Linked DNA regions of Styela clava. The protein of the gene in region 1 purifies or fractionates together with the protein of each later gene. This does not show direct contact. Links are inferred from orthologs where the notes say so. Each region holds a gene or a part of one and is shown on either strand. Other genes may lie near its edges.

The links.
Region 2: the proteins of E3 ubiquitin-protein ligase COP1-like (region 1) and major vault protein-like purify together in Homo sapiens (affinity purification with mass spectrometry; 3 studies listed by BioGRID and IntAct, with this or other methods). This does not show direct contact. The link is inferred for Styela clava from reciprocal best matches to the Homo sapiens genes COP1 and MVP.

What each region holds. Positions count from the first base shown.
Region 1 is NC_135256.1:12,987,822-12,991,752, reverse strand, and holds the start of E3 ubiquitin-protein ligase COP1-like, read left to right. Parts: upstream 1-1,036; 5' UTR 1,037-3,256; coding exon 3,257-3,931. UniProt on the Homo sapiens protein: E3 ubiquitin-protein ligase that mediates ubiquitination and subsequent proteasomal degradation of target proteins.
Region 2 is NC_135260.1:15,801,474-15,805,404, reverse strand, and holds the start of major vault protein-like, read left to right. Parts: upstream 1-1,330; 5' UTR 1,331-1,373; coding exon 1,374-3,931. UniProt on the Homo sapiens protein: Required for normal vault structure. Vaults are multi-subunit structures that may act as scaffolds for proteins involved in signal transduction. Vaults may also play a role in nucleo-cytoplasmic transport.

The DNA.
Region 1 (3,931 bases):
TCTGATAATGTCTACTCATATATATTGTATTCTTTCATTGTACTGATGGAAATGTGACAAATTAAACAATGTGCTTTAGAATTTTGAGAAAGGCAGAAATATTGCATCTCCCATTTTCTTTGAAAATGCCACCTTCTTCATGTACTTTGCGTTTCATTTAATTCATGAAGTGTTTTTTCTAATATTCTTCTCCTAGCTTGAGGTGTATCCATAATAGGGTCAAATTGAAAACAAAAATTTTTTTTTATATTTAAAACTATTTTCAGTAAGTTGTCGCTTTCTGAGTGGATAATCAATTTCACTTTAAATGGTTTGGAAATTGTATTACATTTAGATAGAGAACAAAACTTACAAAATATTACAAGTATTGTTGAGTGTTCGAGGGCCGCATTGGAAGTTCTCTGGGGCTGCATGCGACAAGCGAGTTTGACACCTCTGTGCTAGAGAACGATTTATTTGTGAATATGTGTGATCTCGTACAAAAATGACAACATATGACCTCGAAACGAAATTGTATTCTGTGCATAATATATTTAAAACAGAAGTATTTTAAGGGTCATCAGACGCATTTCAAATCGATCGTACGTAATTCAATCTGTCCCGACCAGAGCCCGCCTGATGCTGCCGCAATCAAACTAAAATTTGTTGTTTTAGCTAAAAATAAGATCAAGAAGTTCGTTGAGTTTGCGAACAAATTTAGTTTTGGCACGAGACTAATTGTTTCCCACTTTTGCTTTTGTAACACTGTAATTACGTAATTCTACTTACATGGCCTCTAGTCTGTCGAAACGAACAAAGTGTCTGGACGACTGCAAAAATTTCAATGTTATGTCACCGTTTACTTTTTTCTGATTGGTCATTATTACAAAAAATAAATAAATAAAGAAATCGATGCTCGTGGAAAATCCATTATTATTATGGCACTCTGACACGTGGTTGCACTATAGAGCAAAGTACCAGGGAGTTGGAGAGCGGTTTCACATCACAAAACTAACAAAATCTAGGTAGCCTAACTACAAACAGACAAATGGCGTTGCAAGTATTCTTGCATTATGCTTATTTTACAGTTAAAACACGCAACAGCACGGCCGCGGTGGTTGCATCGGATGTAAGTTCGTGCTTTAATAAGGACAGAATAGAATATGGGGAACATTTTTGTTTTTGTATGTAACTATTGTAGGCTATACGGTAGCGATTTAATATTCTGATGATGACTTGAAAATTTTAGAATCCTAACCAGCGGTAGTAGATTATGTATTTGAATGAATTGGATACTACTGATGCTGAATTTATGGAATACGGTTCCGGTAGGCTATATAATGGTGATAGGAATTATATTGGATGGTGACAATTAATGTAATGTGATGAATATTGTTTTAACACATTAAAAATAAAAAAAAATATGTAGTACCGTACCGTTTAAAATGATTAAAGAATGTGTAATTGCTATTTGAAACATGCATTTATTGCTCCGCGGTGTGGCGCATTGTGTCAAGCTTTAAGAATAGGCTCCACCATCAAGTCCATGCATATGAAAACAAATAACTGGCTAACTAGTAGTAAATATGTAAATCCTAACTTTAAATATGCAGGTTCTATTTCTATACAGTTACGGTACCGTACTAGGCCTAGATACCAAGATTTCATTGAGAAAAAATTCTCGATGCCTAGATATTTAAGTTGAGCCTATGCTATAACAATAAAAATTGAGGTGACCTCTAGACCAGTGGTTCCAAAACTTTTTAGAGTTGGGACCCACTATTTATTACCCCAGCTTATGGCGGCCCATTTAACTTTAATAAAACATTGATGGAGGAAAGAAAAATAGGACCTGGCCTGAAAATAAGACCCAATTTGAATTTTAAAAAGGATTTTAATAAAACTCTACCCTTAAAATAAATTTAAAATGTGTAGGAGAGAAAAGGTTCAATGACCTGAGGTAAGGTGAAGATTTCAACGCTGTGTAATGTCACAATCACAATTATGATATTTGTCACTTGATTTTTGTATAGGAAATACAAATAAAACCAATGGATGTTGGTTTTTATATAATGTTTATTAAAAAATCTCGTGATTTTCTACAGTGTAATTTTATTTTGATAAATGAACACAAAAGACCTCTTCCAAAAAAAAACAGCGTTATTCTTCAAATGAAAATAAATCTAAATCCTGTCTAAATTTAAGGGAAACACAGTAAGAAGTGCTGTACAGTGTATAAAACTGCTATGCGCAAAAAAGCCACATGGTCATTCTTTGTGTAGCAAATTTTTGTTCCTTTGAGAAGATCATAAAAAGAAAACTTTCACAGATTAGAATTTAAATTCAATTTAATTTCTTTTGTTTTTTTTGAAGATTCACGTATTCGAGTCGCCACCGATCCTAATAACCAGTATAATTAAGCAAAGCTTTCTACATCTTTTCACGACCCACCAAGATTCCTTTTGCGACCCACCGGTGGGTCACGACCCATAGTTTGGGAACCGCTGCTTTAGACTATCTACGGTAATTGAAAAAATTTATGTTTCGAAAAATTTAGCCTCGATATCTTTTAGTATTACCTTTCAAAATACGGCCAGGTTATCTCCAGATGACACGTTTTCAAAGCAAAGGAATCCCCGCCAATCTGCCAATAGACTTCCTGACTGTTATCAACTCAGCAACCAAATATTTTATATTTTGTCATATAACAGAAAAAATTGCTACAGTCTGACAGTATCTTATGATCTACCAAATCTTCACCTTGAAATTGAAGAGCGGGCTTATAGCAATATTTAGTGTTTTCAACATTTTAATGCTGTAGCCATGTCCTCGCCTAGAATAACTGAATAATAAATAATTTCAATTCATCAAGTAGGCCCAGTCTAGTCTCTTGTGTCTCTGATAATAATTGGACGCAAAGTAATAAATAGGCCATGATATTGTAAGTTAGTGACATTCTAATAAAACTAACATTATCTTATTATTGTATGACATTAGACTCCTTTGTTCAAATCTCATAAACTTTCTCAGAAGATTTTCTAACCCACTTTCTCACCTTTTCAGTAATGCCCAATCAGGCAATCAGTTTCGTTTTTTATGGCTTTTCCAGAATACCTTTTAATTAGTGAATATTATGGAGTTTTCAAGATAAACTATCTATCTGAATTAGGTTTTGTGTAGTTTATCACACAATTTATTACTGTATTTCAAAAGTTATACCAGCTATCTTCAGTTATTATCAGTGTGATTACCTACATATTTAAATCAGTAAGTGGCAATGAAAAGAACTTCAGGGGGTGATCATGCGTCATCTTCCAGCGCATCGAGTTCAAGGCCACTGCCCTCGGTATTGGGGACATTCCGTGACATGAATGAAAATTTTGTTTGCCCTATATGCTTCAATTTAATCGATGAGGCTTATATGACACAATGTGGACATACATTCTGCTACTCCTGTCTGAAGAGCAGCCTTGAACAGGGTAACAAATGTACCAAATGCAATACATTAATCAAAAAAAAGGATGACATCTATCCCAATTTTATGTTGAACGATTTGATAAAAAAGCAAAAGAAAAAAATTGAAGATATAGCTGAGACATCTAAAAAATTGAAGATGGATTCCAGACTCTGGGAATGGCAGACTTTTCTTGCTACTGAAGAGGATGGTCTTCAACTGTCAGATGTTGAACATATGCTTAAAGCTTTGCAAGAAAAAAAGCGAAAAATGCTTCTTGATAGTGCAGTCGTACATAATAAAATCTTATTAGAATTTTTACAAGATTTGGGAAAACGTAAAAAGGCTGATCTCGACCGCTTGAAATCTGAATTGTCAGTTGTGGAACAAGATATAGATCAAGTTCAGGATGCTCTCGAGGAAAGCAGACAAGCTTCTGCTAGCTTACTGCAAGAATCTGTTGTACCTGATAATGGTGAGAAGGTGGAATCATCTCAA
Region 2 (3,931 bases), on another chromosome or scaffold:
CAAAAACCTTGAATAAATTACATGGTACAGTGGTACCGGTACTGCTGTACTGTAGTAAATTAATAAAAAACTAAATGATAAAAGTTCTTTGTCACACCATATTAATAATTTTATAATCATTGCCAAATTAAATCAGTAAATATAGATTTTGTGAACGGTAAAGAAAAATATTTATCAAAAAAGATATCAAAGCTGATTCTGTGGTTACCGGTATAGTTCAGTAGTTACATGAAGTCAAATCGAAGTTAGGTGCAGGAAGATGTGGACTAGTCACTAGACCACTTAATAGAACTTGATTCCAGAATGGTGAAACAAATCATCAGAATTGTGATACAGTGCTTCCTAAAAAAGAATACTTGAGGCAAACTGTGGCCGGTGTTCATGTTGTAAGCGAATACTTGAAAAAATGAAATCAACTTCAATCAATCAAAATGATATGATTATAATTCTGTTCAATTCATGTTGTTCAGTTGTTAAACTGCAAGCAATACAGCAATAACAGTAGTTTTCATTTAATTAAAAATTAAATGAAAAGAGTTTAGTTACCTGGAAACAATATTTGCAAAACTTCTGTTAATTCAGATGTGAGAATGAAGAGAAATGGTTTATGAGAAAACATTGGTTTGTCTGTTGATTGGCTTTTTTAGGAAATAGTTTTGTTTTTGCGTAAACACATGTTTGTGCATAAAAAAAGAACAAAAATAAATATAGATGCTCCTTGACAAGTAACAGGATGATTTTTTCTCAATGAAATTACTGTATTAATTGTGCTTTGCTTTTGGAAAGAATAAACCTTTATTAGTCAATGTTGATGCAATTCACATTATCTCACACAGATGTATATCATTTAATTTTTAAATCTGTATACTACTTGTACTTTATCAGCATGCAACTATCTGACTTTGGCAAATCAGGTTCACACCACCTTAGCTGAGATGAGGCAATTTTTGTTCTGGAATTTCTTCAGAACACAGTGAAGCAGAACACAAATAATTGCATTAATTTTCATGTCATGATTCTAAAAAAACTTCCAAAGACCCCGATTTTATTGTATCACCCTTATCCAATTTAGTAATACAGTAATATAAGTTTTCATGCTATCAAAGTGAATTCATGTACTGAGAATCTGGTATTTTGTTTGCTTTTAGCGCCGTACAGCCGTAGTGATTTTCTGATGTTATATTATTGTTTTCTGTTTCCAACATATTTTCATATATGTAATAAATAGCAAAGGAAAACGTTAAAATTAGTCATAGATGTCTCGCTAAGTAAATTAAAAGATTGGTACCAATTTACCAAACAAAAATTGAAAATACTGTATCTTTAATCCTTATATATATTTACAGTCTGTATAGGTATTTGTAAAACTCAAAATGAGTAAGAAAGCACCTTCATTTGCTAACATGTCCGGCCAGGATGAAGCACTTTACAGAATTCCGCCTTATTTCTACATCCATGTTTTGGACCAGAACACCAATGTAACAAAGTTGGAGCTTGGGCCTAAAACCTACATTCGGCAAGATAATGAAAGAGTCATATATGGACCGGAGCGTATGATTACGATTCCACCTCGTCATTATTGCACCATAGAAAATCCTGTTGTAAGAAATAAAGAAGGTGAAGTTCAGTATGACCAGTCTGGTCAGGCAAAGCTCAGCTATGCTGATAGAGAGATTCGTTTGGCTCAGGATCCCTTCCCACTTTATCCTGGTGAAATTTTAAAATCTGCTGTTTGTGCACTGCGTATTGTCCCTGCAAATTCTGCGTTGCGTATGAGAGCGGAACTTGATTTTACTGACGGTGATGTTAAGAGAGTGGCTGGTGACGAATGGTTATTTGAAGGACCAGGTACCTACATTCCACGCAAAGAGGTTCTGGTAGAGGAGACTATCAGAGCCACAGTGATTCGCAAAAATCAAGCAATAAAATTGCGTGCGAGAAAAGAAACAGTTGATCGGGATGGCACTGAGCGTGTGACTGGGGAGGAGTGGATAATTAAAAAAGTTGGAGCATATTTACCCGGAACCTATGAAGAAGTTGTCGAACTTGTGGAGGCATATGTTCTTACTGAAAAGAAAGCTTTGCATATGAAAGCGAGTCGTACCTTCACAGACTTTTTGAATGTGAAACGAAAGAATGGAGAAGAATGGTTAATTCGTATGTCGGACACGGAATCTCATATTCCAGATGTTCATGAAGAAGTCTTAGGTGTTGTTGATATAACTACTTTGAACAGTAGACAATATTGTGTGATAGTTGACCCAGTTTCAGAAGATGATGGAAAGAACCAACTTGGCAAGCGCAAACTTGTGAAAGGAGAAGCATCTTTTTTCCTTCAACCTGGTGAAAAATTAGAGAAAGGCATTCAGGATGTTTATGTGCTTGGAGAAGATCAGGGCCTTATATTACAAGCAAAAGAAGCTCATTTTGATGATAGCAATGAAATACAGCGCAAGCCAGGAGACAAGTGGATGATCCGAGGACCCACCGAATATGTTCCATCCGTTGAGGTCAATGTATTTGCTAAAAGAAGTGCAATTTCTCTCGATGAAAATGAAGGTATATACATACGTGACCTAAAAACTGGTAAAGTTCGAGCTGTTTGTGGCCGCACTTACATGTTGACCCATGATGAAGAACTTTGGGAGAAAGAGCTTCCTCCCAATGTTGAGGCACTAGTGACATCAGCTATCGATCCTTCGGCTGACAGAGGGATGTGGGAGAAAGGAAACAAAGGCCCCTCTCAATTACGTCGTGATAAAACAAGAGTAGTTTCTTATAGAGTTCCTCATAATGCTTGTGTACAAATTTATGATTACAAGGAAAAGAAAGCACGAGTGATATTCGGACCTGAGCTTGTGATGCTCAATCCTGATGAGCAATTCACGCAATTGTCGCTCTCGGGTGGAAAACCAAAACGTCCGAATGTCATTAGGTCGCTTGCGTTGCTTCTTGGACCAGATTTTTGTACTGATGTCATTACCATTGAAACTGCTGACCATGCACGTCTCTCATTGCAACTTGCATATAATTGGTATTTTGATACAGACAATGCCCGAAAAGACCAGAAAGATGCTGCAAAATTATTCAGTGTACCTGATTTTGTGGGAGATTGTTGCAAGGCAATTGCATCTCGTGTAAGAGGGGCTGTTGCTTCTGTCACTTTCGATGATTTTCATAAGAATTCATCTCGTATCATTAGGTCTTCTGTATTTGGCGTAGATGAAAAAGGAAAAGTTCGTGACAAGTTCGTTTTCCCACAAAATGGGCTGACTATAACTTCTATCGATATCCAGTCCGTTGAACCTGTGGACCAAAGAACCCGAGATGCTCTGGTGAAATCTGTTCAACTTGCTATTGAAATCACAACAAACTCCCAGGAAGCGACTGCACGTCATGAAGCAGAAAGGGCAGAGCAGGAAGCAAGAGGCAGACTTGAACGTCAAAAGATTACTGATGAAGCAGAGGCTGAACGGTCCAGAAGAGATCTTCTGGAACTTCAATCATTGAGTGCTGCAATTGAAAGCACAGGGCAAGCTAAGGCAGAAGCACAATCAAGAGCAGAAGCTGCTCGAATTGAAGGTCAAGCTGCTGTAGACCAAGCAAAACTCAAAGCAGAGGCAGCACGAATCGATTCAACATCTGAGTTAGAGCGCTTGACCGCAGCCCGTGATGCAGAACTGAAATATTCTCGTGAGCAGGACGAATTGGAAGTAAAGAAACAGAAGCAGTTAGGTGATATCGAGACAGAAAAATTCAAAAATATGGTTGAAACCATCGGACCGGATACTATTTGCAAAATTGCTTCTGCCGGACCAGATATGCAAGTGAAAATGCTGAAGGCCCTCGGTTTAACATCAACTCTGATAACCGATGGAAATTCTCCAATAAATCTTTTCAACACTGCTCATGGTTTGATTGGCAGTCAAGG